Linked DNA regions of Arabidopsis thaliana. The protein of the gene in region 2 interacts with the protein of the main gene of each other region in a biochemical or structural test. Each region holds a gene or a part of one and is shown on either strand. Other genes may lie near its edges.

Evidence for each region.
Region 1: the proteins of AT5G28300 (region 2) and CAM1 form a complex in vitro, tested with the Arabidopsis thaliana proteins (one study listed by BioGRID).

Annotation. Positions count from the first base shown.
Region 1 is NC_003076.8:15,003,736-15,007,981, reverse strand, and holds CAM1 (calmodulin 1), read left to right. Parts: upstream 1-1,776; 5' UTR 1,777-1,864; coding exon 1,865-1,940; exon of another isoform or gene 1,941-2,052; coding exon of another isoform or gene 2,053-2,097; intron 2,098-2,557; coding exon 2,558-2,635; intron 2,636-2,839; coding exon 2,840-3,213; 3' UTR 3,214-3,455; downstream 3,456-4,246. UniProt on the Arabidopsis thaliana protein: Calmodulin mediates the control of a large number of enzymes, ion channels and other proteins by Ca(2+). Among the enzymes to be stimulated by the calmodulin-Ca(2+) complex are a number of protein kinases and phosphatases.
Region 2 is NC_003076.8:10,291,627-10,297,406, forward strand, and holds AT5G28300 (Duplicated homeodomain-like superfamily protein), read right to left. Parts: upstream 3,658-5,780; 5' UTR 3,476-3,657; coding exon 3,081-3,475; intron 2,628-3,080; coding exon 1,163-2,627; 3' UTR 653-1,162; downstream 1-652. UniProt on the Arabidopsis thaliana protein: Probable transcription factor that binds specific DNA sequence.

The DNA.
Region 1 (4,246 bases), 4.7 Mb from region 2:
TTCTATCACTTCAAATTAAATCGATCGACCATTAGTTCAACATATAGAGATGATATCAATGAATCGTCTATCGATTCTCCTTTTTGTTTTCGCCTTTGGTCTTACCATGATGAGTAACACAGCCTTATCGTACAAACATTCCGTGTGGATCAGAAACTTTCTTCATGAAAAAAACGATCTCATAATCCATTGCAAATCCACGAACCATGATATGGTATACCATAGGTTGCATCCAACAGGATCGTACCATCTGCTAGTTGATGATGATTCCGACTATTTTTGGTGTCATTTATGGCAAGGACCTAATTTCAAGCATCACCAAGTTTTTGGTGTTAACCATGGAGACGTATGGGAAGCTAGGGAAGACGGAATCTACTTCTCGCAGATAAAATATGCTCGAGATCTCCGTCAGCATGTGTTCATGTATGGGTGGAATGTTCCTTTGACCTTGTCAAGAGCTTCCTCGTTGGGATTGTGTTGTGTCTCTTTAAGCTTATTACTCTCTTCCTTGGTTTTGTTTTATTTTTATCTAGTTTTAGTTTTGAAATTTATTTTTTTTATTATGAATTTTAAAAATTTAATTTTTATTTGTGTTGGAATTTTTTTATTTTCTTTGTAACCTATATGAACTTGGATATTTTTTTTCTTTCTTACATTAATTAAGTACGTAAGTTTCGACAATCAAGAATAGGGTTTTGTTGATTCCAATCGTGTTACCCAAAAATTAGAATAAGGTTTGTCCAACAATTTATTAAATTTGGTCTTAGAGTTGTATACGAGCCTACGAGGTATCTTTTAGATATGCCGAAGAGATGGTAGTGCGAAGAAGAAAAGAAACCTCATTTTCCATGGTATTAAGGATTTCAAGCTATTCAAACTTTTGTAGTGACCCAAATACGTGTAGAACTGGCCCAAAGACAAATAGCTTAATTAAGATTATCACCTAATCTTAGGTATTGGTGATAGGTGATTCGCTCAAGCCTTATGATCAATATTAGCTCCATATTATGGAGAGTGAGCAGCACATACTCGTAGATAGAAAAGTATTGTTGCTCGAGTAATATTTTTCTGATGATAATTGTGTTTCGACCACTGTTGGCATCTTTCACACATGAATACATGATGTACATGTACGACATGCAATCTTTCTCTTAACGCTCGACTGCTGTCTGCTGTGATGGATCATCACAAGTAAACTTTGTGAAGCATATTTCGTGAGCCAAATGATGTTAGAAAACAATCGTGTGAGCCAAAGGCGTGAGAGCGCTTGTAGAAAGTGGTTTATGTTGTAGTTAAAATAATCCGAATATTCATCTTCCGGAAAAAAGTGAAGTTCAACCTCTCAACGGTACGTTTTTATACCTCAACTAAGTTACATTGTGTATATCAACATCAGCTAACTTTTTATTAATATTTCGGTTCACAATATCATTATCTTTTTCAAAATTTATTAAGATTTCTTTTGCTCATTTTATTTATGTGAATTTTAAAAATAAAATAATTTTTATAATATAGAAACAAAATATTACTAAAAGTAATTTTTAAAAAATAAATAAAATTAATGTCATATCAACGAAAAATTCATAGTTTATTAAAGTAGTAAATATAAAAGTAATAATATTTTAATTATTTTGGTATTAAATTATACACTTTTATTAATATATGTATTTTCTTCTAAAAATTAAAAATTAATTGGGTTTTTGTTTGGAATTTTTCCGACTTACCTTTTCTCCTTCTTTTTGTCGTTTTGCTTAGATATTTGTTTGCATCATTTTCAAAGAGAGACGACTCTGAATCCAAAAAAAAAAAAAACTCATTAAGTAAAGACAAAGGAAGAGAAGAAAGACGATTTCTCGAAGAAGCTATGGCGGATCAACTCACTGACGAACAGATCTCCGAATTCAAGGAAGCTTTTAGCCTCTTCGACAAAGATGGCGATGGTTAGATTACCTCTTCTTTTACGCCTTTGATGGTTACATTACTGGATCTCGGTTTTTTTTCCATTTTCGTCTTCTATCGATGATTTAGAACGGTGTATCTCGTCCTCCCGAGCTTTGAATATGTGTTTATTAGTCGCTAATCTCTTTAGATTCGGAGGTATTGACCTTGTCGTTTGATCTGTTTTTGATCTTTGACCGAGTAGTTTCGCTTTTTGATCTTCGATGGCTTTTTGTATATGATTGAATCGATTTAATAGCTTGCTTGTTGTCCTGTTTCGTTGATTTGCTAGCTTGGATCTGATTTATTTTTTCGTCTCTTACGTTTTGTTTGATTTTTCATCTTCCATGATTGTTTTGGTCGTATGTGTTTTCGAGTTTGCTCTTAGTTGATAAAGAATCTGCTATCTTTTTTTCTTCGAAGTTGTTAATTATCTGAGTTTTTTTTTGTGTTCTCAACAATTCTACCAAAGAATGGGAAAAAACTATGTGCTTAAATGTGATTTCGAATCTTTTAGAAGCTTTGATGGTTCTTCTTGATCTCTCTAGGTAGGTTTCAAGGTCATGTTGCTCAGATTTTCTCTTGATTTCTGAGTTGTTTGTTATACTAGTTGATGTAGTGTTTGTTCTCTCTGATCTAGGATTTGATTTCAAAAGATTATCAAATTGTTTGGAAACTACTCCTGAATTGTCTCATGGTTATATCCTGCTTATAGTAGCTCAATTTGTGTAGATTTGTTTGTTCACTCTTTAAGAGATAAGCAAAAGATGTTCATTCGCTTTTGCATCTATCATTGCTTTTACCCATGACAAAACTGCTTTATCATTGCTTCCATTGAGCATTTGAGTATAATATGTGATGGGTTCTAAAATGTAATGCTCTCTTAATTGTGGTTACACAGGTTGCATCACAACAAAAGAGCTGGGAACAGTTATGCGTTCACTAGGACAAAACCCAACAGAGGCTGAGCTCCAAGACATGATCAACGAGGTTGATGCAGATGGAAACGGCACTATCGACTTCCCCGAGTTCCTGAACCTGATGGCTAAGAAGATGAAAGACACTGACTCCGAGGAAGAGCTAAAAGAAGCCTTCAGGGTTTTCGACAAAGACCAGAACGGTTTCATCTCCGCTGCTGAGCTACGCCATGTGATGACCAATCTTGGTGAGAAGCTAACTGATGAAGAAGTGGAAGAGATGATCCGTGAGGCTGATGTTGATGGAGATGGTCAGATTAACTATGAAGAGTTTGTCAAGATTATGATGGCTAAGTGATTTGATAAAGGTGATGATGATGATGATGATGACCTTTTTATGCTTCTAGGAGTTTAACCAAAAACATTTGCATGATTGGTGGAGATATGCTTTTAAACAGACATAATTTGTTTTTCGTTCTTTTGATTTTCTGGTTTGTGACTTTTGTGTGTAATGGAAAATCAAGTAAGTTGGATTGAAACCGATGGGTTGGGTTTTTACTTTTTACCCACATTTTGTTGCTTTTTTGGTTTTACAAAAAAAGAAGAAGATAAGAAATAGAGATGAAAAATATGGCTTTAAGCTGAAAAAATTAAGTACTAGTTAAAATTATAGTTATATTAAAATGTTCTCTTTCTGATTTACTGTTTTAATCATTTGAGCCACTCGTCTGAACTGTACGTCTCTATACGTGTGTACGTTAGCCACAAAGAAAATGATTCGCGGGCAATCACTTCCAAATTTGTGTCTAATCAAACTTTTAATTTTCATACGACAAACAGAGGTCGCTGAAAATTTAGTTTTAAGTATAAAGTGCTTTTCTTTTGTCAATTAGTTTTAGTATAAAGTGCTTTAGTGTATTATTTATTTGGATACCAAGTTGAAAATTGATGTTGGACTAATAGGAAAATGACACATGTAAAAACACGAGGTTGGTATTATGCCATTGGCCACCATAAATTGTCGTGAAGTAGTAAATTTCAAGACAAGTTTTAAATTAAGATTTTGAACAATACATTCATATTTTTAGTAACTTGTTATTTATACTTAGACTATATAATTAAGTATTCGATCTATTTAAATTTATATTAAGACATTATTTCCCAAAAAGTGTGAGAAATCATATATATGACAGGAGCTCAACTCTCTCCCACAATATTACACATCAGCACATGAAAGGAGAGGTTGCCACCTACACTTCTTAAAATAAGTAATACATAATTAGTAATTAATTCAACATATGAACCTATCATAAGTCAGAACTTCAACCATCACTCTTTCTATATTTTTTAATTTAATATATCTTCTTTTATTTTTTTAGGCATTTGGGTAG
Region 2 (5,780 bases):
AGAAATAAAAAAACGAAACTGAAATTTTTTGGGAATATTAAGAGGAGAAAGAAGCGATGAAGAAAGAAAAAAGAAGGAAAGAAGAATAAAAAAGAAGAAGATGAAGAAGAAGAAGAAGAATGAGGGCAAAATCGTTATTTCTTATAGCAGAATGTGTCCATCTCCATTAGCCCAACAAAAAGTACTCTTTTTAGAGTTTTTGGACTTAAATGTACCCCAAATACGTAAAAGCCCCAACTTATTAGAGCCAAAACTCTGTTTGAAAGTTAAGAGTTGGTGAGAGAGAAGAATTTGTTTCATGCGAAAAGGAGAAGACAAAGAGCGTGTGTCTCAAACAGGAATAACGTTGTCATTATTACAGAAAATACAAACAATATCAAGTTACTTTTTTTGGAATGTTAGTTTTTTAAATATATAATATTTTTGTAGGTTATAAGCCCAAATTTCTCTTTTTTATAATTAGAAAAATAAATTTCAAATTAGACAAAGCTTCAAATTTTGCATTAATAAACAGAACTTAAGAAGAAAAGTAATTATCTTTCCCTTTAACCTAGAAAACAACAATATAATATGTCTACTAAGAAATAGTTAATATTAAAAACATACAAAAACATCACATGTAAAATCAGACAACATTTTTTTTTTACGTTTTGCCTAAGATTGTAAAGAATGAAACGACTTGTATTATTATTATTTTTTTTTTTTTGCGGTCTGGTTCTGCACTTCAAATTGAATTAAGACATGATTTATTTATTTTCTGAATTTGCTGGCCCATCCCGTTTTCCACCTCTAAATAGTAAATAGAAACCAGATAAGTAACTAATTTACTAATTCACAAAAATATTTATTTTCCTTGCATTTATTTATTTTGATTATTGTTGAAAGACCTGATCTCTTCACGTATACGTGAAATTCATGGAGAATAAAAGCTAGAATACTAATAGGAATTTAACCAGTAGTTTATTCAAGTTCAACTGAATTTCACTGTTTGTCGGTGCACGTGTACGGTCGACCAAGTCGTCAAGATACGTTTCCCACTAATAGCATTAAAACAGTAACACTATTCATATATAATAACTTTATCATAATAACCAAAAATGAGGTTTTAGCAAAAAGCAGAAAAAGAGAATATAACTGATAATATATATATAGAAGGGATTTATTAGAACTCAAGATCGAAACCTGAAAACTGAACATTGCTTTTATCGCCAGCACCATCTCCATCTACATGCATGGGTACAGAAATATCAGGATCTTGGGATCCAACCCGGTTTTCCTCGGGTCGGGTGTCTAGATCTCTGGCTGACGTGGCCGTGGTGGCGGTGGTGGCGGTGGTCCCTGTTGGTGGTTGGCTGTATAAAGCTGTGAGTTGGTGAAAATAAGGACAAGTCCTTGAGTCAAGTGGTCTCTTCTTGTTAACATCTTTTGTCTTCCTAAAATACTTGTTGATGTTTTCCCATTTCTCTTTGCATCTTTTGGCACTTCTCTTGTACCCAATCTCCAACATTTTCTTGGATATTCTTTCCCATAATGGAACAGCTTTTGAAGATGTTGATAATGAGTTCTCATCTTTATGATCATCATCATTCATGTTACTGATACTTCTTCTAATGTTGATCAGAGCCAACACTTCATCCTTTGGCCATCTCTTGCCAAGATCACTTTTATCATCGCTTTTTGGAGGTTTTGGGTTTTGGTTTTTGGGTTTTAGGGTTTTAGTAGAAAAAGGTTCAAGTGATTTGTCAATGGTTAAAAGGTTATGTGGAGTTAGGGTTTGAGGTAATAGTGATGATGAAGTTTGAAACTTTCTTCTGCCTTGGGTTTTTCGTAGAGCTAAAGAAGATGAGTCTTGAGAAGGGCTTGTTGGGTTTTGGACAACATCAAGATCATGGTCTGTAAACTTGGATATGAACTTGATGATGTTGGTGTTTCTATCACTAGCCATGGCTTGTTCTTGTGCTCTAATCTCTACCTCTTTGTTAACTCTCTCAATCTCTTGCTTCTTCCAAGCTTCCTCTCTCGCTATCTTCTCTTCTTCCTTCTTCACCATATCTTCCAGGAGTTTCTTATGCATCTCCTCTTGTTGAGCTATCATGTTCCTCACTAGACCCTCACAAAACCCTTTTAACACACCAAACCTCTCTTTCTCTTTCTTCCTCTTCTTCCTCTTCTTCTCCTTCATGATCATCATCAAGCTTGATGATGATGATGACTTGGCATCATCTTCTACGTTTCCAACTTTTCCAACCTCAATAGAGTTTCTTTGATTCTCCATTGATGCTTCTTCTACTTGACCCTGATCCTGATCTCTTAATTTGTCCTCCGCCATTAAGTCTTGTACCGTTTCTCCCACGTTTCCTTTTCCTTCTACTAAATTGGTCCTCTTGTTTTGGTTATCCCCAACTTCTGATGAAACATGTTCATTGTCATGACCATGATGATAAAACTCTTCAACCTCACTAAATATCCTATAATTATTTCCCTTGTTGTTATAATTGCCGATGTGTTGATGATCATTAGTGTTGTTGTTGTTGTTGTTGTTGCTATTGAAATATCTTCTCTCTTCTTCTTCAAATTTCTCTTTGCATTCTTGTGGACTCCTCTTAAAACCAACTTCTGCCAACTTTCTACAACATCATAATTTCATAAACGACATAACGTCATTAATAATACGAATATACATATATATATATATACGAATATACATATATATATATATACACACTTCTACCAATAATATACACATATATGTATTGATATCTTACAATTTCATCGTTAGTTTATTTTTAAAAATGCATTAAAATGGCACAAAAATGTCAATTATGTATAAATATAAATAGTTATTAATGGCCAATCATTTGTTAACATCAAAATTAAATATCCCAAAAAATGCTTATTCAAAAGAAAAAGATCTCTAGTCTATCAAATCAAATTGAGTAACATGATAATTGTAATTGTTGTAAATGTACTCTTATAAAATAAATACTAATGTTCATGTCCATATGCATATGAAGAAAAATATAAATGTGTTGATGCATATATAAAGAAGTATATTTATATATGTGTGTGATATGTATTACCTTGAAGTATGCTCCCAAGTGAATTCAGGGAACCAATTCTCCACTGTAGATCTGAACCTAAGAAGAGCAAGAACTTCATCACTACACCATGGATGATGATGATGATGTTGATGATGATTATCGCTATCATCATGATCCGTCTGACCTATCCACTCACCAGTAGTAGCACCACCATCTTTGATGTCATGGTGATGATGATGATGATGATGGTGAATGATCTTACGGCTATCCAAGCTCAACATATGCTGAGGTTGATGATTGGTGTTAAAGGAAGAGAATGAGACAGGAAAAGGTAGTGATCTTTCCGCCGCCGGTTGATGCGGCGGAAGCGGAGGCGGTGGCGGTGGAGAAGCTATGAAACGGTGGATCTGCTCAGGTACTCCACCATCAAACATTTTCTTTTATTCTTATTCTTCTTTTTTTGTTCACATCGAAATCTCTCTTTTCACTCTCTTTTTTAGTCTCTCTTTTTATATTGCTATTTTTTTTGTCATTTTGAGGGCAAGACCTTATATTTATTTAAAAATAAAATATCTGTGGTTGGTATTTAACCATTAATGAATAGTTATTGTTTATTAACTACTTAACCATGTATTTTATTTTCTTTTGTCTGATTTGATTCCGTTTTGTTAATTATTATGTATATATATGTTCAAAAAAAATTCCTAGAATAAAAGTGAATGCTTAAAACCTTTTTTTATGTTTTTGTTCTACTAACTTTATAGAGAATATTCGAACCATTCTTGAATTATTTGGCATATATAGTTGCCAAGTAAAAGAATTGAGATTTTCAAGGATGATTCTGAGTCTCACGATCCAGTTCTCATATTAATGCAAAAGTTTAGACCTAATTTACATGAAAAATATCAACAAATTTGTTTTCTGATTGAATCGAATGTATCTAGTAGCATTATATGTTTTATTCTTATCTTTCCATATAATGAAATTACAAGTCAATTTTTTAACTCAAAAGCTACCGTGTAGATAAACACGCGTATATAGTCCAAGTTTATATTTTGTTCTTCTTGCATAATAATTGACTGATAGTGAGTGTTATTTTTTATATGTGTAAAAATTCAATTTACAAAATGGCAAAGACAAAGACAATATTACTAAAAACGCCAAACATCACCTCTCTCTCATTTATCACTGACATTTTGTCCAAATACAATAAATCGAATCATTTAGCCCATGTTATAGCCACCCCTTATGCTCAAACAAATTAAGTGAAACCTAAGCATTAAAGGAATACTTGTATAGTTGAATACTATAAATATTAAGTAAATAATATATAGTATAAAGCTGGTTCTCAGATTCATATTTTATACTTTTGTCCTAGAAATATAGGATAAATATGGGCATGATCGAAATGTTTAATTCATACTTCAAAATAATTACGAAAGCATAGGTTAATTATTGATATTCCGGTATCTACTAAATTGCTGGATATATATGGAAATAAGAAAAAAAAAAAATCCACTAACAAATGATTTTTTACTTCTTATTAGCCAACAAAATATTTACTTCTTTTAAACATAGTATAAATTGATAATATATATAAATTGACTCTTTTATTTTTTTAGTTACAGACTTTTACAGTCGACTAACAAGTGACAACCAATAGGTTATATTAATCATTAGTAATCAACAATTTAAACTTCTTTTATTACAACTCTTACAACAAAATCAATTAAGTTATTAGATGATAGTCTTTCATTTTCCAAAAGCTTATTATTATAATTAAACAAGATATGATGGACTATTAGTACCGTTTGAGGTGTGTAGTTATGAATTTAGGCTAGAATCGATTTTTCAAATGCTTCAGAAAAAATCTTGCTCTCCATATTTTAACCATCGGCAGATGCTTTTAGTGGTAAATTTTTTTTATTGAAATGGAAGCTGAAATTAGTATGGAATTTGATATTATATTCCCCGGTTAACAAAAATAAAATAAAGGAGTATCCAAATTTTAATAATCATCAATCAAACAATCAAGTCTTAAACAAAAAAAATTATTATTTTATTATAACAATAAATGAGTAGAAAAGAAACACTACATAGAATATTGAGAGCCACATTTAATCTGAAACAATAAAATTTACTACAAATGCATAACTTAATATAAACCAGATAGAGTATCAAACAACATCCGGTACGAGTGATCTATTTTTTCATCTCTAGAGACTACCAACATGTACAATTACATTATTTTATAGGGAAATATACATAAATTAATTGTGCTTTGTCTTATTTTTACATCAATTGTTCTTGTCATTATTGTGATACTTTATAATATTTTTGGAAAAATAAATATAGAAATTTTGGAGGTACATTAGAATCCTATGCAGAAGCAGATGCAGATGATAGTGTAATAAACGGCAAGCGAGAATGGCAGGGCACGTGAATACATGCAGGAACTGGGTCCTCTCTTTTATTAATTTATTATGATTATTTCTTACAATTTGTTTATTTATGACCCCATTGATTTTGTCTTTTAAGTTCTACTCATCTGCTTCTCAGGTCCACCTATTTATGGTGCACCTCTTTTTCTTTTGTCGACTTGTCGTTATTGCGTCAGCGATTGTATTGGATCATGGAATCACTATTAGGACGAGGTACGTGCAATTCTTGCTTTCTTCTTTTTCTAATGTCGGCTTAAATTACTTTCACATCTACTTCTTGTTCAAATACGTCACATTA